Anolis sagrei: one gene and its partner. The protein of the gene in region 2 binds, or shares a complex with, the protein of the main gene of each other region. Links are inferred from orthologs where the notes say so. Each region holds a gene or a part of one and is shown on either strand. Other genes may lie near its edges.

What was found.
Region 1: the proteins of FARSB (region 2) and FARSA are in contact, whole or in part, in a crystal structure (PDB 3L4G), measured with the Homo sapiens proteins. The link is inferred for Anolis sagrei from reciprocal best matches to the Homo sapiens genes FARSB and FARSA. Residues at the interface, in NP_005678.3 of Homo sapiens: Glu26, Phe29, Gly32, Leu33, Pro68, Ala69, Asn70, Ile150, Arg152, Asp259, Thr261, Lys262, Arg305, Lys316, Lys317, Val318, Gly319, Ile359, His360, Cys362, Asp363, Glu366, Ala369, Ile370, Tyr374, Asn375, Ile377, Gln378, Met379, Thr380; in NP_004452.1 of Homo sapiens: Ser221, Gly222, His223, Leu224, His225, Leu227, Leu228, Arg231, Ser232, Arg235, Leu239, Gly242, Phe243, Thr244, Glu245, Pro247, Asp249, Asn250, Phe251, Ile252, Glu253, Ser254, Phe263, Gln266, Gln267, Phe277, Phe278, Leu279, Arg280, Asp281.

The regions. Positions count from the first base shown.
Region 1 is NC_090022.1:162,416,259-162,426,475, forward strand, and holds the start of FARSA (phenylalanine--tRNA ligase alpha subunit), read right to left. Parts: upstream 5,189-10,217; 5' UTR 5,174-5,188; coding exon 4,931-5,173; intron 1,639-4,930; coding exon 1,501-1,638; intron 1,254-1,500; coding exon 1,155-1,253; intron 1-1,154.
Region 2 is NC_090023.1:233,509,335-233,520,204, forward strand, and holds the start of FARSB (phenylalanine--tRNA ligase beta subunit), read right to left. Parts: upstream 4,582-10,870; 5' UTR 4,564-4,581; coding exon 4,473-4,563; intron 1,422-4,472; coding exon 1,366-1,421; intron 340-1,365; coding exon 185-339; intron 1-184.

The DNA of each region.
Region 1 (10,217 bases), on a different chromosome or scaffold from region 2:
AGTTTGGTTGACCAGGTTGGAGAAGCAGCTGCTATTCAGAACTTGATCCTGAATAATCATGAGATCTGATTGGATAAGGCTGGGGTTAATCTCTCTCAGCTTTGCCCACCAGGATTCACAGTGGCAAAACCTATGGGATGGGGAGGTGGAACTGCAACACTGTTAGGGACAGACTAAGGCAGCACTCTATAACTAGGACAGACTAGGGCAGGCCTCTCCAACTTGTGGCCCTTCAGATGTTTTGGACTTCAGCTCTCAGAATTCCCGACCATTAAACAAGCTGGGAAAAAGGAAGAGGGGCCGACCAAGGGCAAGATGGATGGATGGGATCCTTGAAGTGATTGGATTGACCTTGAAGGAGCTGGGGGTGGTGACGGCCGACAGGGAGACCTGGCGTGGAATGGTCCATGAGGTCACGAAGAGTCGGAAATAACTGAACGAATGAACAACAACAAACAAGCGGGCTAGGCATCTGGGAAATACAGGCCCAAACACCTGGAGGGCCACATGTTGAAGAAGGCTGGACTAGAGGTTCTGTTGTTATATCACCCACCCTACTGCTCAACAGTATCTCTGCCTGGGCTACCTGGGATGTTGGAATCTCCAGAGCTCGTAATGCTGGATCTTTAACATCCATACTTCTCTTGTTGCGACTGTTCTATTGGCAATCAATCCATTTCTGGGCACAATTCAAAATTTCATGTTTTTGATACACACAGCCCTAGACAGCTTACTAGGCCCAAGTTATCTAAAAAGATCATCTGAAAAAGATTGTATCTCTTTCTAAAATAGTAGGTCAAAACATTTTTATGCTTTCAGGCTTTTACAAACCCACTAGGATTGGCTTTTAATGCTATGCGGGTGCAGATTTTAAGGGTTTTTTTAAAGTTTCTATATAGCTGTTTTATTGCCTTGTAAAATGTTTTGACATGCATTGTTTTTACAGTCATAATTTTACTCTAACTCAACCAGAATAATCAGAAAACAGTGAGATATAAATAATTTTTATTAAACACAGTAGTAGTAATACAGAGATAGTGCTGCATTCAACAGTAATGTTGTTAAGGAAACTATGTAACCACTTTGAACACAAGGCAAGATACTGTCCTGCAGAAACAAATCCACAAGGTAGATAGAGAGCTAGAGTGACCTACCACCCGGAAGATCCGAGGTCCACCTTCTGAGTCCTTGTCTAGTTTGATCCATTTATTGGACATTGCTTTGCTGAATCCCACTTTTCCACTTGGGAGCTTCTACAGAGAAACAAAGGAAACATGAGCCCACAGGTGCAATGTCAAATGCTAACCTGCCCCCCATCACAAGCCCTAGCCAATATAAATAATGAAGAAACATAGTGCTCTTTCTGCTTCAAGTACATCTGGAGGAGAAGAAATTTGAACTGAGACCTCCATCAAATATTCAAACGGGGACAGATAAGGAAAGTCTACTCATTCTTCACTTACACTCTAGTTTAATCAGTATATGAGAAAAAAATATTACCATCAGCTCACTCTGGACCAGACCCTCAGAAGGGATGCTGTTAAAGACTCTAACTTCATGGCTTCCTTTTTGTACAATTTCTTGGCCCTCAGGTGTCAGCTCCCACTTCTTGGATGTACGCTGTTCTGCCTCAATCACCTAAACAGAAAATGAGAACATCTTCAAGGGTGGAAATCACCTAAATGAAATGGGATGGGGCTGAAAGTAGCAGCAGGGAGGGAGAAAAAAGATTTGAAAGAAAAAAAAGCAGTAACTGTGGTCCTAACCAGGAGCCAGCCCACAAACATACAGCCTCTCCCTTCCCTTTTCATCTGAAACAGCATCTGAAACACCATGAAAGCATCATATTTCCCACACAAAACAAGTTTATCCTGAGAAGAGAAGCCTGTGTCTGGATCAACCACTCCCATCTGACCTAGAGGTTCACATGGTCAATTGTTTTTGTACACTGGTGTGTGTGTGTGCATATATGTCAGGGAAAACATCATTCTGGCTTTATTCTAGCCCAACCTTCTCTCTCATAGGCTAGTTTTCTAAACTTCAGGGACATCTATTCACATTCCAACACATGAACCCTCACCTTCACTCTGTCGTCCTCAAGCTCACTGTGTGCAGGGAGATATGATGAAGCTATGGAAGCCATGACTGATTGATAACATTTCTTACCATTATTCCTTTAGAAGACATCTTTACTGGGATATCTCCTGAGATAACTGATTTCAAGTCAGAACAGGACTGACCTTGCACTAAAACATCACAGTGCAGTGGAAGTGCATTTCTGTCAACACTGAATATAATCCTTCTCCTTCTAAGGTTGGCTCTGCATCTCGTGGTGCCAGAGCGCAATCTGTTCAGCGCCTTCCAAGTCGCCCAGTTTTCTGTGTGCCCAGGGGGGAGTCTCTCATTTGGTATCAGCCATTGATTGAGGTTCTGGGTTTTAGCCTGCCACTTTTGGACTCCTGCTTGCTGAGGTGTTCCAGCGAGTGTCTCTGTAGATCTTAGAAAACTATTTCTTGATTTAAATTGTTGGCATTCTGGCTGATACCCAAACAAGGAGTGGGAAGGAGATGTCACTGCCTTAGTCCTTTCATTATTGGTTGCTACTCCCCTGTGGATGGCAGGTTGTGCGATACCAGCTAAACCAGGGTCCTCAAAACTAAGGTTCGGGGGCCGGATACGGCCCTCGAAGGTCATTTACCCAGCCCTTGCTCAGGGTCAACCTAAGTCTGAAATGACTTAAAAGCACACAACAACAACAACCCTATTTCATCAGCCAAAAGTAGGCCCACACTTCCCACTGAAATACTAATAAGTTTATATTTGTTAAAGTTGTTCTTCATTTTAATTATTGTATTGTTTTTGAGTGTTTTTTGCACTACCAATTAGATATGTGCAGTATGCATAGGAATTAATTCATGTTTTTTTTCAAATTATAATCCAGCCCTCCCAACAGTTTGAGGGACTGTGACCTGGCCCTCTGCTTAAAAAGTTTGAAGACCCCTGGGTTAAACAGTGTAATTTCTCCAGTGGTGTAGGGCGCAGACACCCCGTGATAATGCAGCATGTCTCATTAAGAGCCACATCCATTGTTTTAGCGTGGTGAGATGTGTTCCACACTGGGCATGCGTACTCAGCAGCAGAGTAGCATAGTGCAAGGGTGGATGTCTTCACTGTATCTGGTTGTGATCCCCAGGTTGTGCCAGTCAGCTTTCGTATGATATTGTTTCTAGCGCCTACTTTTTGCTTGATATTCAGGCAGTGCTTCTTGTAAGTCAGAGCACAGTCCAGAGTGACTTCCTGGTATTTGGGTGTGCTGCAATGCTCCAGTGGGATTCCTTCTCAGGTAATCCTCAGAGCTCAGGATGCTAATAATAATAATAATAAAAAAACTTTATTTGTACCCCGCTACCATCTCCCCAAGGGACTCGGTGCAGCTTACATGAGGCCAAGCCCACAATATCAATAAACAAAACATCAATAAAACAATCAATGCAATACAATTCAAATAAATCACATAAACAAAAAATAGGCAATAAACAATCAACAGTAACGTACAAGCATTTAAAACCAATGGCCGGGCCAAATGTAATAGATTAAAATTAAAAAATAATGCTGACGTGAACAAGGTAGGATATAACTGGGATAGGATTTTCAGAGAGAAATGAGGGAATGCAGTGGTAAAGTGCATTTTGAGGGCATATTGCTGAGAGTTTTCCTTATTCTGTGAAGGCACAATGGAACAACCACCTTTTCAGATTCCTCCTAAAGACTGCCAGAATTGGGGCATGTCTGATGTTCCTGGGAAGTGAGTTCCAGAGTTGGGGGGGGGGGGGCACCGAAAAGGCCCTCTCTGTTCTGCAGTTCTGCTTGCCTGAAGCTGTTCTGCTTGCCTGTTCTTAAAATGAAAAGCACATCTCTGTGTTTTAGATGGGTTACAAATCAGCTGGTTTTCCCTGTAATAGGCTGTAAGAGCACCTAGAGCAGTGTTTCTCAACCTGGGGGTCGGGAACCCTGAGGGGGTCGTGAAGGGGTGTCAGAGGGGTCACCAAAGACCATCAGAAAACACAGTATTTTCTGTTGGTCATGGGGGTTCTGTGTGGGAAGTTTGGCCCAATTCTCTCATTGGTGGGGTTCAGAATGCTCCTTGATTGTAGGTGAACTATAAATCCCAGTATCTACAACTCCCAAATGTCAAAGTCTATTTTTCCTAAACCCCATCAGTGTTAACATTTGGGCATACTGAGTATCCGTACCAAGTTTGGTCCAGATCCATCATTGTTTGAGCCCACAGTGCTCTCTGGATGTAGGCAAACTACAACTCCCAAACTCAAGGTCAATGCCCACCAAACCTTCCAGTATTTTTTGTTGATCATGGGAGTTCTCCGTGCCAACTTTGGTCCAATTCCATTGTTGGTGGGGTTCGGAATGCTCTTTGTTTACATGTTAACTATAAATTCCAGCAATTACAACTCCTAAATGATCGAATCAATTTCCCCGCCAACCCCACTAGTATTCAGATTTGGGCATACCGGGTATTTGTGCCAAATTTGCTCTAGTGACTGAAAATACATCCTGCAGATCATTATTTACATGGCGATTCATAATGTTAGGGTTATGGTTGGGGGTCACCACAACATGAGTAACTGTATTAAGGGGTCGCGGCATTAGGTTGAGAAACACTGACCTAGAGCTTCAGAGAGCTTCTGTTCAACCATCTCATAGCTCCCTGCTTGAGCGGTAATGGCACGATCATCAGTATAGATGAAACTCTGTCCCTTCTGGCAGTGGCTGGTCATTTGTGTAAATGTTGAACAGCCAATGAAACAACAGAAGAGGCGAGGTCAGCTCTTCAGGTGGTGGATCCCCTCAAGAGAGTGGCATCTCGAGGGGGCGTGGCCATGAGCAAGCCCCTCCCCCTCGGCCCTCTTACCTCGCCAAGCGACTGCAGGCTCTTCACCGCCCCGACAAGCACTTGGTGCTCCAAACCGAGGGCCGCGGCCGCCTCCAGGCTACAAATCCCGGCCTCGCCGTGAGCCCCCGCCGCCTCAAGCCGTCGTAAAAGCAGCTCCGCCGCTGACCCAGAGCTGGCAGCCGCCTCCCCCATGGTGGGAGACATCTTCCCGGCGCCTCCTGACAGGAAAGCGGAAGTGAGGACTAAGGGCTTCCGGCGCATAGAGTGCTTCCTGTGATAGAGCGTCCCTGGCGGAAACGGCTTCCTGTCGCGTCAAGTCGTCTTAGAAGCGGAGGGCTTGGGAGGCGGGAGGGCCGGAAGGGAGGAAAGCCGGCTGGATATATCTAGTGAACTTCCGGTTCCTCTCATACAGACCGAGGGCGCCATGTGCGTAGCAAAAGTCGACTAAAGTGCATCACATTGTCTCGTAAACATACCAGACAAGTCGGTCAGTGTTAGCATTGTCCAGAATTTACCTCAGGGTTGTAAATATAACGACCTGTTTAAGCTTTTCTCAGGCCCCTTCTACACTGCTCTTTAATAATCCAGATTATTATATATAGTTTTTCCGGTTTTTTGTATTTTTTCTTTTTCTCGTTATATTCTGACAATCTTCAAAACTTCTCTTCCTTTTCCTCTTTTTTTATATCTTATTTTCCTACTTTACTATCATACTAGCCGTCCCTTGCCACGTGTTGCTGTGGCCCAGTCTGGTGATCTGGAAAATAAAGTAATGAGAAAGTGTTGGTTTCTAATATATGTAATGTCTTTATGCTTGTGGGAAAACAGTATTTCTTGTGGTTTCTTTGTCAGTGTTGATGTGGAGAGTGTCTGGTTTGCCCACTCTGCAACATGCAACATATCATCGTCCTTCTCTACTAGTCCCTTTCAAATCTATGATACTCTATGTATGTGTGTGAATCATATCTATATCTATATAATCATATCTATATCACGGAGCCCCCGATGGTGCAGTGGGTTAAACCCCTGTGTCGGCAGGACTGAAGACTGACAGGTCGCAGGTTCGAATCCGGGGAGAGGCGGATGAGCTCCCTCTATCAGCTCCAGCTCCTCATGCGGGGACATGAGAGAAGCCTCCCACAAGGATGATAAAACATCAAAATCATCCAGGCGTCCCCTGGGCAACGTCCTTGCAGACAGCCAATTCTCTCACATCAGAAGCAACTTGCAGTTTCTCAAGTTGCTCCTGACACGACAAAAAAAATAAATAGATGCTGTCCTTGCAGACGGCCAATTCTCTCACAACAGGACACTCCTGACACACACACACAAAAAATCTATATCTTTGGCTGGATGGCTCTTTGTCAGGAGGGCTTTGATTAAGTTTTCTTGCCCTGGTGAAGGGAGTTGGACTGGGTGGCCTTAAGTATGGGGTTTCTGTGTGGGAAGTTTGGCCAAATTCTTTCGTTGGGGTTCAGCATGCTCTTTGATTGTAGGTGAACTAAAAAACCCAGCAACTACAACTCCCAAATGACAAAATTTTAAAAAATTGAGTGAATGACATACATTAGGTTGTTAAGTGTATGCTGTCCAAATTTGGTGTCACTTGGCTCACTGGTTTTTGAGTTCTGTTAATACCACAAACAAACATTACATTTTTATTTATATAGATTTTTGTTCTCCCACTTTACCTGTAGAACGAAAATACCTTCCCCTTTCCCCCCCTCATCTCTAATAAAATATATATTTTGAAAAATCTAGATTATTTGCTTTGAACTGAATTATATGGCAGTGTAGACTCATATCCAGTTCAAAGCAGATAATCTGGATTATCCAGTAGATAGTACAGATTATCTGCTTTGATCATCAGTGTAGAAGGGTCCATAGTCATCTCTGAGTTTCAGGCACCCTGATTTCGTAAAATAGATTTATTTCCAAGGGGCCGGAGGTTTAGCACAGCTGGTAAATCGTCAGCAATTGTAAGATCTATCAACCAGAAAGGTTCCAAGTTCGAACCCCGGGTTTGGCATGAGCTGCCAAATGACACCCTAGCTCATTGTTTACCTAAGCAATTCGAAAACAGCTTTAGCTGTAATTAGAGAAATTAGGTACCGCTAAAAAATGAAGGAGGAAGTCCTGACAGCTCTTCATCATAGAGTAGTGGTTCTCAACCTGTGGGTCCCCAGATGTTTTGGCCTTCAACTCCCAGAAATCATAACAGCTGGTAAACTGGCTGGGATTTCTGAGGGTTGTAGGCCAAAACACTTGGGGACCCACAGGTTGAGAACCACTGTCATAGAGCAACAGCACCCCCTGGATTCAAGCCCAACTTTCCATGGCATCAAAAAAAATAACAACCAGATCAAACTTTATATTCCTCCCTGTCCCCCCTGGAGATTCAGGGCGACTCACATAAAAAGGCAAATATCCAATGCCTTGTAATAAGTAAGTAATGCAATCTAAACAAAATACAGTGTAAATAGTATAAAACAAATAGTTAGAAAAGCAATAACAACCATCCTATGAAACACATTTAAACAACATTAGTAAAGGGGAAATTTAGATCATCCCAAACACAGCCATATAACCCAGAATTAGCAAGCCTCGCAGTTGCTAATTTGTTATCAGTAAATGATTGTATACTTATTTTATATACCTGGGGTCTCCTAAAAATTTCTCAGGGAGAAAGGGGTCTTCAGTTTAAAACCCTGGTCTAGGTTAGGTTAGGTTACAGTGTCACCTACTAAACGATGCTGAGAAAGGTCCTTATAACATTTCTGATTTAACCATTTCTTTTCTCAGTTTCATGGTCCTTCCACACAGCCCTATATCCCAGAATATCAAAGCAGAAAATCCCACATTATCTGAGTGTGGACTTAGATAACCCAGGTCAAAGCAGATATTGTGGGATTTTCTGCCTTAATATTCTGGGATATGAGGCTGTGTGGAAAGGCCCTCAGCTTGCTAGTACAATTTCAAATACTGTTTTCTTAAACAAAATAACAGATTAGATTGATCGGAGTTAGGTAAATGTAAATTAAGTGGGCATATGAAATGAATTAGATAGTATTAATAGTAGTAGTTCCCCATTTTCTCTCTTGATCAAAACTCGAAGTAGCTCACAATCTTTAAAAAAAACCCAATATAAACCTATAAAATATAAATATTAAAATAAATTCAAGCATACAATTATTAAAACAAGTTAGTTAAAATTGCATTAAACAAGCAAGTCAAACTTAAAAACAATTGCAACACAATACATCACCCACTGGCTTGGTCTTAAAACCTCTGCTGACCTGCACATAAACACTTCCTTTTTCTCTTTATTATAGCTAATTAATTACGGCTACTGTCCAACCAGAATATTTTATTGGCAAATTGTCAGAAATTGAGAGTGTAAAATCATAGACTAAGTAGTATGTCTTGGTGCCAGCATAAATGCATGTACAATATCCAGCATCGTAGGAGGTGGCATTTTGCTCTGTAAATGTCAAAATAGCCATCTTGTTCCGTTCCATAATGACAGAGGCAAAAAGGTCACATTTCTTGAGTATCGGCCTTTCCATTTTACAGCTGTTGCCATGCTGATTGGTCAGCAAGCTCAGAACAGCGTCTTATCTCAGTCTTTCCTTCAAGCGACTGCCTGTTGCATTTCCCAGGCCACTTCCACTGTAAGTAAACAGGAAATCAGATCATATTACGTAATTATAGCACAGATGTGAAAACTTTGTTCCCCTGACAATCAAGGTCATCCATTCTGCCAGTTATTTTAAAACAACATCTGCCAGCAAATAAATGTGCCTTTTCTTCCTCTCTAAAATTGAAAATGACAGAGTCAATATTATCACTGTGCTATGACTCCTCGTGTAATTCCCATTAGATATGTTATGTTATGTTTCTTTGTATGTCTAGAAAAAAAAATGCATTTCTCCAAAGGGCCTCTGGGCTGCTTTAGTGTTATTTTTGGAGTGCCTTTACATATTTTAGGGCCTTCAGACAGTTAAATGAAAGAGAAAAGGTCCTACTTCCCCATTAAAAGGGGGTGGGCGGAGTGAGAAGATAGGAAGGCTAAATGAACACTGGACCAAATAAGAAACCAGTAAGAATGAGTAGTGGGCATAAGAGACATTGGAGTGCTAAGGCAGGACAAGATGCGTACTTCTACTAGTGAATAACTTGTATAGTAGCCTTGTCCAAGCCCAGTAGTTGCCATCTCTATAGCTAGCCAATGTATCTGAAGCATCCCAGATTTGGAAAACCGTTTGTAGAATGTTAGGATGCCCTTGCAGCAGTGGAGTTCCAACCATTGGTTTTTTAAAAAAAAAAAAACCCTCTCAAGATCCCACCATTCTGGATAGTTATCAACCAGTCTTTAACATTGAATTTGGGCAAGATTTTGAGTATGTGGTGACTTCCCAGCTCAAGGGGGCTTCTGGATAAAGTTGATTATCTAGATCAGTTTCAAACTATTCATATTTTCACTCAAAGTTAACCCTTGCCAAGTACTGTGGGCTTGCATCCAGATTAAGTATATATCAGGAGCACCTGGTGGCCCAGTGGGTTAAACCACTGACCTGAGGTCACAGGTTCAAATCTGAGGAACAGGGTGAGCTCTTGCTCTTAACCCCAGCTTCTGCCAACCTAGTAGTTCGAAAACATGCAAATATGAGCAGATCAATAGGTACCATTCTGGCAGGAAGGTAACGGCACTCCATGCAGTGTTGCCGGCCACATGACCTTGGAGGTGTCTACGGAAAATGCCGGCTCTTTGGCTTAGAAATGGAGATGAACCCCACCCCCCAGAGTCGGACACAACTGGACTTAATGTCAGGGGAAAACCTTTACCCTGACAAACCTTTACCTAAGTACAGGGTGAGGCAGCATAACTTCCTTTTTTCAAAACTTAATAAAACCCATTGTATGAATCAGAAAAAATTATAATGTAGGCGCATACCTAAAGTTTTCTTTTACGTAGTTTTGAAGATCAAATTAGGTAGGAGACGTCCCCCAGTCTCTATTCTCCATACACTGAGTAAACCAATTTCTGGCATTTGTCATGACTCTTGCCAGAATAGCAAGCGTTATGTTGGAAATTTCTTCCTGGATGTTGGTCTTCAAATCTTGTACGGTCCTTGGATGGTTTACATAAACACGGGATTTCAAAAAGCCCCATAGGAAAAAAATCACAAGGGGCCAAATCTGGAGAGCGGGCCGGCCACTCCAAATCCGCTCGAAAAGTAGGCCTCAACAGCAACGCATGATGGTGACTGAACTCAAAGTAGCTTTATACTCCCGCCTCTCGAAC
Region 2 (10,870 bases):
AGAAATCAACTAACATCAGAATACTTTGTTTCTTCTTTCTAAATAAGCTTTGCTGGCTTTCAGCATCAACTGCCAAGTTGCATAAATGCTTTTCTGGTTAAAGCAAATTTAAGTGCTTCCTCTGATTGTCAACTACGTCAGCCTAGTAATAGCATAAAAATAATATTTCCAAATACCACATTACCTCTCTTTAAAGACCTGAAGACCTCTGACTAGACCTTCCAAGCAAAGGAGATCATAGCGATTAGCAGGAACATCAATTTTATAAAGAATGACGTCTGATGCACCCTCTGCTTTTCCATCACCTTTCTCTTTACTTATTATGTCCTTCTCAGAAGTCTGAAATGAACAAAAAAAATCAGGAAATACATCTCAAAACCCTTGTACAATAAATGTGTGTCAATTGGAAAATACAATGAGTTTAATATGCTCTCATACACAGATTAACAGTTACAGAAATATTTGAAACATAGCTTTTTACAAATTAAAAACTTATACAAATCAGAATCAACCTAGTCCGAATCAGCTCAAATCATCATGTTTGATAATCCTAAACATGACTAGCAAAAATGTCACCTAAATTCAATCAAGTATCTTCTAATAACTGCACACATGATTTTAGCCTGTGATAAAGAAAACACATCCTAGTTTGCATCAAGCTGAAACCTTTCTCTTGCTACAAGCTACCTCAAAGATAACTGATGCCATGGTTAACAATATGTACTTAATAGTACATAATGATAGCAATTACTTCCTCCAGTTCAAAGTTTCTCAAACTGTGCTCCTCCAGATGTTTTGGACAGAGTTTGAGAAACACTGCTCCAATTATACCAGTTCCAGTAGCAACAACCTGATGGGGTACAGAACAGACAACATAATATAAACTTAATTGATTGGTTGCCAATGGTTTCTGAGTGTTTTAAAATCCCACAATTTGGAGACTCTTCTTATTGCAACTAACTCACCATAAACAAGTTAAAATACATTCGGTAAATCAACATTATTATAATATTTTACAGGTATGCTACAGATACAAGATGCATTGTTTACTTCCTGCTATCCTATTCGCAGGGTATTGAGAATTTAAGACAAAACATCCAGACTATAAAATGTTCTGAGACTTCATTATAAGGCCAAGCTATTTACAGGATAGGGTAATAATGGTTTTAGAAGGAGAGGAATTTGATTGCACCATGTACAATCTAATTTAGTTTACATGGCTTTTTTTTTACAGGTCTCACAACTGGTGAAACGGGTTAAAAACCATAAAAGCTTACACTGGATTTTTACTCTCTCATGGCAGTTTCCTAAGTACTACAGCATTCGTTTATATATTCCTATATAAAAATAAAAGCAATTACTTACAATCTCATCAAGTTCTAAACCAAATTCAAAGCACAGCTCATCAAATTCTTCATCCGCTGAAATTAAATCACAATATAGTACATCAGATTTTTCATCCTATAATTAGTTCCAATATACATAAAACTATTCAGCAAGTCCTCTTTTAAAAAAATAAATAAAAGAGTATTATTCTGTCTTGATATACAATTTGGGTTTACTCCAGCAGTACTGACAATGGTGTCCTAATGGTGTGCAGAAAAGACAGGTTCTGCTGCCCTGGAGACAGAGGGCCCTTCCACACAGCCCTATATCCCAGAATATCAAGGCAGAAAATCCCATATTATCTGTGTGTGGACACATATAACCCGGTTCAAAGCAGATATTGTGGGATTTTCTGTCTTAATATTCTGGGATATAGGGCTGTGTGGAAGGGCCCTGCAGCCCCTTTCACACAGCTGAATAAAGTCCCACATTTTCTGCTATGAACTAGAATATATGTCAGTGTGGACTCAGCTAATCCAGTTCAAAGGAGGTATTGTGGGATTTTCTGTCTTGATATTCCAGGTTATATAGCTGTGTAGAAAAGCCCTAGGACAGCTGAATAAAACCCCACATTTTCTGCTTTGAACTGGAATATCTGGCAGTGTGGACCCTGACAACCCAGTTCAAAGCAGATATTCTGATATTCTGACTGTAAGATCTGTACAACCGTGTAACTCTCTTGCCTCAGAGTGTGGTGGAAGCTCCTTCCTTGAATCCCTTTACACAGAGTCTGGATGGCCATCTCTCGGGGGGGGGGGGGGGGGGTTGCTTTGATTGTGCTTTTCCTGCATGGCAGGGAGTTGGACTGGATGCCTCTTGATGTCTCTTCCAATTCACTGATTCTAGGATTCAGTGTCCAGATGACTATGATATTAACATCACTTGTTCTTCACACATGCAGTGCTCTTTCCAGAATGACAATATAACATACGATATTGTCAACTGAGAAGAGAATTTTCTCATATAAACAAACCCTTATGTGTGGAATGATTTGTCGAAGGCTTTCATGGCCGGAATCACAGGGTTGCTGTGAGTTTTCCAGGCTGTATGACCATGTTCCAGAAGCATTCTTTCCTGACGATTTGCCCACAGCTATGTCAGGTCTGTTGTGAGGTCTGTTGAAAACTATGCAAGTGAAGTTAATATATCTGTGGAATGACCGAGGTGGGAGAAAGAACTCTTGTCTGCTTGAGGCAAGTGTGAATGTTGCAATTTGCCACCTTGGAAATTCCACAGATATATAAACCTCAATTGCCTAGTTTCCAACAGATCTCACAACCTCTGAGGATGCCTGCCATAGATGTGGGCGAAATGTTAGGAGAGAAAGCTTCAGGAACATGGCCATACAGCCCGGAAAACTGACAGCAACCTCATGTGTGGTCTTCTTGCTTTCCTTATCAGCCCCTTCACTGGCACAAACATCACATATTTTCTGTGCCCAGTGTTACTTTCCCTTTCCAATTTGTACATGCATCTGCAGGATCAAAACATACTCCTGCCATTCTCCCCAAAGCCTCTTTTCAACAACAGAGCAACATTCCACCTACATGGAAAAAAATGAGAAACAGAAAAGGGCTTTCGCAAAGGGCTTGAAGAACTAAAGTAGGCATGGGCAAACTTCAGCCGTTGGGGTGTTTTGGACTTCAACTCCCACAATTCCTAACACCCGGTAGGCTGTTAGGAATTGTGGGAGTTGAAGTCCAAAACACCCCAACGGCTGAAGTTTGCCCATGCCTGAACTAAAGTCATTTAAGGCTTCTGAAACACTTTTAGACAACATCTAGGACACATCAAATTGTGATTTCTCCATCTCATTGGCCTTCCTGATATTCTGGACTTCAGCTCCCAGAAGCTTTAGTCAACTTGGCCAACTGTTAGGAATTCAGGGAGTTTATTTATTGGGTTGTTGTAGGTTTTCCGAGCTATATGGCCATGTTCTAGAGGCATTTTCTCCTGACGTTTCACTTGCATCTATGGCAAGAATCCTCAGAGGTAGTGAGTTTATTTATTTGTTTACAGAATTTCTACCTTACCCTTCTCAACCCCGGAGGGGGGACTCAGAGTGGCTAACACAGGCAGCAATTAGATGCCACAATAACACAATATACAATAATATAGAAACCATAAATACCCAATACATTAAAACAATAACAATAATTAATCATTCATAGTAGCCATTTCCATTATCATAACGATCGTCATATGGTCCAATTCAGTGTCCAAAGTGCCTGCTAGCCAAAGGCCTGGTTCCAAAACCATGATTTCAGTTTTTTCCTAAAGGAAAGGAGGGAGGACGGCGATCTAATCTTGCTGGGGAGCGAATTCCACAAGAGGCAGAGTCACCACCGAGAAGGCCCTGTCCCTCATCCCCACCGGTCATGTTTGCGAGGCTGGTGGGACCGAGAGCAGGGCCTCCCCAGTGGATCTTAAACTACGAGGTGGCGCGTAGACGGAGACACGTAGAGGGAGATACGTAGAGGGAAGTTGAAGTCCAGAATAGCAAGATTTAGGAAACACTGCCATGAAGTGCATCAATACTATAGAACGAGTGCAGATTGCCATGGAATCATGGGAGCTGTGGCGCAGAGGGTTAAACCCCTGTGCCAGCAGGACTGAAGACCCATAGGGGAGAGCGCGGGTGAGCTCCCTCTGTCAGCTCCAGCTCCTTATGCGGGCACATGAGAGAAGCCTCCCACAAGGATGGTAAAAGATCAAAACATCCTGGTGTCCCCTGGGCAACATCCTTGCAGACGGCGAATTCTCGCAAACCAGAAACGACTTGCAGTTTCTCAAGTTGCTTCTGACATGACGAAAAAAATATGGGAGCTGTAGTTTTACAAGGCCTTTAGGCTTCTGTGCCAAAGAGGGCTGGCCTTGCACTAAACTACAGCTCCCAGGATTCCATAGCATTGAGCCGTGGCAGTTAAAGCGGTTCCAAACTGCGTTAATGCTACTGTGTAGAAGCACCCATTCAAAGTCCTGACATTGAAGCAGCAAATGACATTTCCTTGGCAACCCCTCAGGCCTAAGGAAGGAGTGCTCCAAAGACACCCAACAGCCCTCCTCTCCTTCCCCTTCCTTCTTACTGTAACTCCTTCCCAGCGCTTGGAAGAGCAGATCTCGCTTCACGCTGACAGTCGGCATGGCTGACTGGAAGAGAACCACCTCAGAGCGCATGCGCCACTCGCACTCTATCGAGGAAGGACCCTTCGCCGGGCTGGACCTTTCCATCCACGGCGACCAATACTTCTGTCTTTGTTCGTGCCTGCTCCAATGGCGCCCCTCCGTTTCCCTCCTCGGTGGTCTAGAAGAATAAACCTCTCGATATTATCGCCCACGCCTTAACTATTCTTAGTGTACTTCGCCGTGCAACTAAGAACTTGTACGAAATTTAAAGTGTTTCTATCAGGCATATTATAGACAGCTAAAATTTGGAGTGTTTCATCAGCAGGAGCCTCTGAAGACTGACGTAGGAGTAGACAAATTGAAGGGATTGACTGCACCTGACTTCCGGTCTAAGGAAGCTGGGGTATAGCTACCGTGGTGTAGTGGTTTGAGAGTTGGACTATAGCATTTGGGCGTCTGAGTTCGATTCCCGCTCGGTCCTGGAAAAAGCACTACTTTGGTAAATGGAATTGTAAATAGAATTTGGTAAATAGAATTAATGTACTTGGCGCCTCTTTAATAGCCATGGCTCAGTGCTAGGGAATCCTGCGTGTTGCAGTGTTGCTTCACCAAACTAGAACTCCCAAGGATTCTATACCATTGAACTGTGACAATGGGGTGAAGCTGTATTAATTAATTTCAACAGTGTAGATCGGGCAATAAGGTAATGCTCAAGATCAGGCATGTTAGGAATTGTGGGAATTGAAGTCCAAAATACCTGGAGGGACAAAGTTTGGTCATGCCTGGGATAGGGTTAGGGTTATTCAGATATTTCCCTGTTTCCCTCTTCGTGGATGGAGAGGCAATAACACAGGGATGTGTTATTGCCCCAACTCTATTGTCCATCTTCATCGCTATGATACTTCACCTTGTTAATGGGAAGCTTCCCACCGGAGTGGAAATCATCTATCGGACAGATGGCAAGCTATTCAACCTCAGCAGACTGAAAGCCAAAACCAAGGTTACAACAACATCAGTATGCTGATGACAACGTCGTCTATGCGCATTCAGAAGAAGATCTACAAGCCACTCTAAACACCTTCACAGAAGCATACATCGAGAAAACCAAAGTGCTGTTCCAGCAGTCGCCAGCCATCCCCTCCTCAATGCCAGAGATACAACCTAATGGTGTAACATTAGAAAATGTTGACCATTTCTCCTACCCTGGCAGCCACCTCTCCACCAAAGTCAACATCGACACCGAAATACAACACCGCCTGAGCTCTGCGAGTGCAGCATTTTCCCGAATGAAGCAGAGAGTGTTTGAGGACCGGGACATCCGTAGGGATACCAAGGTGCTTCTCTATAAAGCTATTGTCCTCCCAACCCTGCTATATGCCTGCGAAACGTGGACTGTCATCACATGCAACTCCTGGAATGATTCCATCAGCGCTGCCTCCGGAAAATCCTGCAAATCTCATGGGAAGACAAGCGGACAAACGTCAGCGTGCTGGAAGAAGCAAAGACCACCAGCATTGAAGCGATGGTCCTCTGCCATCAACTCCGCTGGACCGGCCATGTTGTCCGGGTGCCTGACCACTGCCTCCCAAAGCAGTTGCTTTACTCTGAACTTAAGAACAGAAAGCAGAATGTTGGTGGACAGGAAAAGAGATTTAAAGATGGCCTCAAAGCCAACCTTAAAAACTCTGGCATAGACACTGAGAACTGGGAAGCCCTGGCCCTTGACCGCTCCAGCTGGAGGTCAGCTGTGACCAGCAGTGCTGCAGAATTCGAGGAGGCACGAGTGGAGGGTGAATGAGAGAAACATGCCAGGAGGAAGGCGCGTCAAGCCAACCCCGACCGGGACCACCTTCCACCTGGAAACCAATGCCTTCACTGTGGGAGAAGATGCGGGTCAAGAATAGGGCTCCAAGGCCACCCACAAACCCACAAAAATAGTCATCAAGGAAGACCATCTTACTCGTCCAACGAAGGATCGCCTAAGTAAGTAAGTAAGTCAGATGTACCCTCAGCCTTGATCCGTCACTCTTTACGTCAGCTAAATTAGGTGGTACCACATATTTTAGTATTGTAAAGCAACAAACAAAGCAAAACAAAGCTTCTGGATGTACCATATTTTCCAACGTTTAAGACAACCGGGCATATAAGACGACCCCCAACATTTCCTGTTAAAATGTAGTTTGAGATATAATCACCATATAAGACTACCCCTCTTCCAACGCACACAAAATACAGTGTTCCCTCACTTATTGCGGACCTTAAATTCCAGGACCACCCACGATAAGTGAAAAACCGTGATGTAGGGACGCTCTCTCTCTCTCTCTCTTAATAAAAATGTAATGTTTGCTTGTGGGATTAACATAACTCAAAAAACACTGGATGAATTGACACCAAATTTGGACACAATACACCTATCAGGTCGACAAGTGAGCAAACACTGAAAAACATAGTAGAAAAAACTTAAACAGCCAAAACATAAAAAATGCATTACACCGTATGCACAAAACCACATATATAAATGCAAACACATACATATACACACACAAGACACATTTACACAGACTGGGCCACAGCAATGCATGGGAGGGGACAGCTAGAATATACCGGGCAAGGGCCATTCCGGCGGTGGGTGCCCTGCTGGCCATGCTGCTTGCAGGAGGCTTCTTCCCAGAAGCCCCCTGAGTGGCAGGAACTCTCTCGCCGCTTGGCCAGCGGGCCAACTGGCAGCAGGCCTCGCCCCTGGATCGGCCGGGGCCAGCTTCCCCACCTCACCCCAGCATCCTTTACAGGCTGCTCAGGGCCTCCGCAGGGCTCCATGGCTGGTGGGGAAGCCGGCCATGGCCAATCCAACCAGCAGATTGGCCAACGCCGGCTTCCCCATCTCGCCCTGACAGCCATGGAGGTCCAGGGTAGCACTGCAAAGGCTGCTGGGGCGAAATAGGGAAGCTGGCCCTGGCCAATCCGCTGGTTGCATCGGCTAGGGCCAAATGCCCCAGCAGCCTTTGCAGCTCTGCGCTGGACTTCCACAGGGCTCCATGGCTGCTGGAGCGAGGTGGGGAAGCCGGCCCTGGCCGATCCAACCGAGGCCAGCTTCCCCACCTCACCCCAGCAGCCCTGGAGCCCGCAGACTCACTGTTTTGCGGTTAGGCTTTAAGTTTAGAATATTCTAAACCCTAACCGCAAAACAGCGAGTCCGCAGAAAGCAAACTGCGAAACAGCAAGGGAACACTGTAAAAATTTTAAAAATCAGATTTTATTTTCCTATTACCGTACCTCCTTCTCTGCCTCTCAGATCTCACACATGCACGGCTGTGCCACTTCACTGCAGGAGCGAGATCTGAGAGGCAGAGAAGGAGGTAGGGTAATAGGATACAAGGGCGGACCAGACAGGTAAAAGAGGTGTGTTTTTCTGGGCACAGCTCAGCTCTGTTTCTTTTTTCCATACCCCGGGTGTCCCGGACACCTACACTTACACCTTCCCGGTGAGATGCCCCCTCACCTCATCATTGGAACTGCGTTAAGTCACTTATTTCCATGAATCCCAATGAGTGGATTTTCTTCTACTGTACTTGTACGGCGGCGCCCTTGCTATTTTCATACAGTTGCCACATATGGCAGGGATGCAGCCGTGGCCGGTTTTGAGCCCCCCCCCCCCCCCACCATATGTGGCGACTACAGATTCTCCAGCCTGGCTCAGAAGTTTCAGCACGCACTCTATATGACGACGCCCAGCAATAAGACGACTCCCCAACTTTTAGGAAGATTTTCCTGAGTTTAAAAATAGTCTTATATGCCAGAAAATACAGTAAATTGGAGTGTTACACTTGTGTGTGTGGGGTGGGGTGGGGGTGGGGGTGGGGGCTCAATTCTATAAGGCAGTGATTGATAGCAAAACAATGGCAATGAATTGAAGTGAAAAAACTTTTGAAGCTTCCCAGTTTGAGATATTCTCCTGTAGGGGGCACTGTTGCCTTTTTCATAATGTAGGGATTTATTACAATGAAGTTGTTTTTTAAATCTGATTTTTTTTTAAAAAATAATCTGTGAATTTAATATTTTGTATGCTTTTATTTCTTAGGCCCCTTCTTCACTGCCATATATCAATGCAGACAATCTACTCATGCTTTAAACTGGATTATATGAGTCTACACTGCTATATAATCCAATTCAAAGGAGGTAATCTGGATTTTATATGGCAGTGTAGTAGAGTCCTTAGAGATACTGATGGTTTGACAGCAATACAAGAGATTCTGATAGTTTGACAGCAGTAGATAAGCTCTGTCTATTATATCACAATTCCATGCATGTTTATACACAAAGTAACTTTTTTTCTCCCTTCCAGACCTTAAAATGTTACTGTAACTCCGAGAATACCTCAGTCCACATGTTGCCTAGTGTGAATCCCAAGTCCTTTCCACAAAGCCATATAACCCAGAAAAAAGCAGGCCACAGACTGGTCAAACTTTGATTAGAAGAAGGGAAATAATTTCCCCAAAACACTTCTTAGGCCCCTTCCACACAGCTATATAAAATTCACATTGAACTGGATTATATGGCAGTCTGGACTCAGAGAACCCAATTCAAAGCAGATATTGTGGATTATCTGCCTGGATATATGTGCGTTGACAATTGGAATGCTTCAGGTCACGATTCTGGATTATGTGATATTAATGTTAATAATAAGATGTTTTAATTCTATTTTTTATTTCTCCAAATGTTTATCTTTCATGTTTAGTATGATTTCAATGGTTTTAATTTATAGTTATATGTCATAGAGTCATAGAGTTGGAAGAGCCCTCATGAGCCATCCTGTCCAACCGCCTGCCGAGAAGCAGGAAAACCACATTCAAAGCACCCCCGACAGATGGCCAGCCAGTCTCTGCTTAAAAGCCTCCAAAGGAGCCTCCACCACACTCTGAGGCAGAGAGTTCCACTGCTGAACCGCTCTCGCAGTTAAGAAGTTCCTCCTAATCTTCAGCTGGAATCTTCTTTCCTGTAGTTTGAAGTCATTATTCCATTGCGTCCTAGTCCCAGGGCAGCAGAAAACAAGCCTGCTCCCTCCTCCCTATGACTTCCCCTCACATCTTTATACACGGTCCTCATCATGCCTCCTCTCAGCCTTCTCTTCTGAATGCTAAACATGCCCAGCTCTTTAAACCAATCCTCATAGGGCTTGTTCTCCAGACCTTTGATTATTTTAGTCACCCTCCTATTGGACACAATATTCCAGGTGTGCTCTGACCAAGACAGAATAGAGGGGGTAGCATGACTTCCCTGGATCTGGACACTATACTTCCATTTATGCAGGCCAAAATCCCACTGGCTTTTTTTTAGCTGCTGCATGGCGTTGTTGGCTCACGTTCACCTTCCTGTCCACGAGGAATCCAAGATCTTTTTCACACATACTGCTATTGAGCCACGCATCCCCCATTCTGTATCTTTGCATTTCATTTTTTCTGCTTAAGTGGAGTGTCTTGCATTTGTCCCTGTTGAACTTCATTTTGTTACTTTTGGCCCATCTCTCAAATCTGTTAAGGTCATTTTGAATTCTGCTTCTGTCCTCTGGAGTATTGGCTATCCCTCCCAATTTGGTGTCATCTGCAAACTTGATGATCGTGCCTTCTAATCCATGTTAGTTGCATTTGCTAAAGCAACTATAACTCCCAAATGGCAAGGTCTGTTTTCCCCAAACTCACAACAGGATCTTATTTAATTCAAGAGGCTTGACCAATTCATTGGGAATGCTTACTTAAGCGATCCGTTATAGCTCAAGGATTATTGTCTTCCAGATGGGTGTCTAGGCGGTGGATCTGTAGGTGGCTGTGGAGCCCTAGTTTTGATTCGCATGTTCTCCCGCAATGAGGAAATTGGAGTCCAGATGGAAGGTGGTCCCAGTCAAGGTTGGCTTGATGTGCCTTCCTCTCAGCATGTTTCTCCCTTTTACCCTCCATTCATGCCTCTTCAAATTTTGCAGCACTGCTGGTCACAACTGACTCCAGTTAGAGCGCTCAAGGGCCAGGGCTTCCCAGTTCTCGGTATCTATGCCACAGTTTTTAAAGTTGGCTTTAAGCACATCTTTGAATCTTTTTTCCTGTCCACAAACATTCAATTTCCCATTCTTGAGTTCAAAGTAGTTTAACTTCTTTGGGCAATGGTGATTGGGCATTCAGACAACGTGGCCAGTCAAGCGAAGTTGATGGTAGAGGAGCATCTCTTCAGTGCTGGTGGTCTTTGCTTCTTCCAGCATGCTGACATTTGTCCACTGTAAAATATTGGGGGATTTATTAATTTAATTAAAAAGCCAACTCAAACAATCTTCTGGCAGGAAAACATTTCCTTTGGTAATCCCACCACTGTA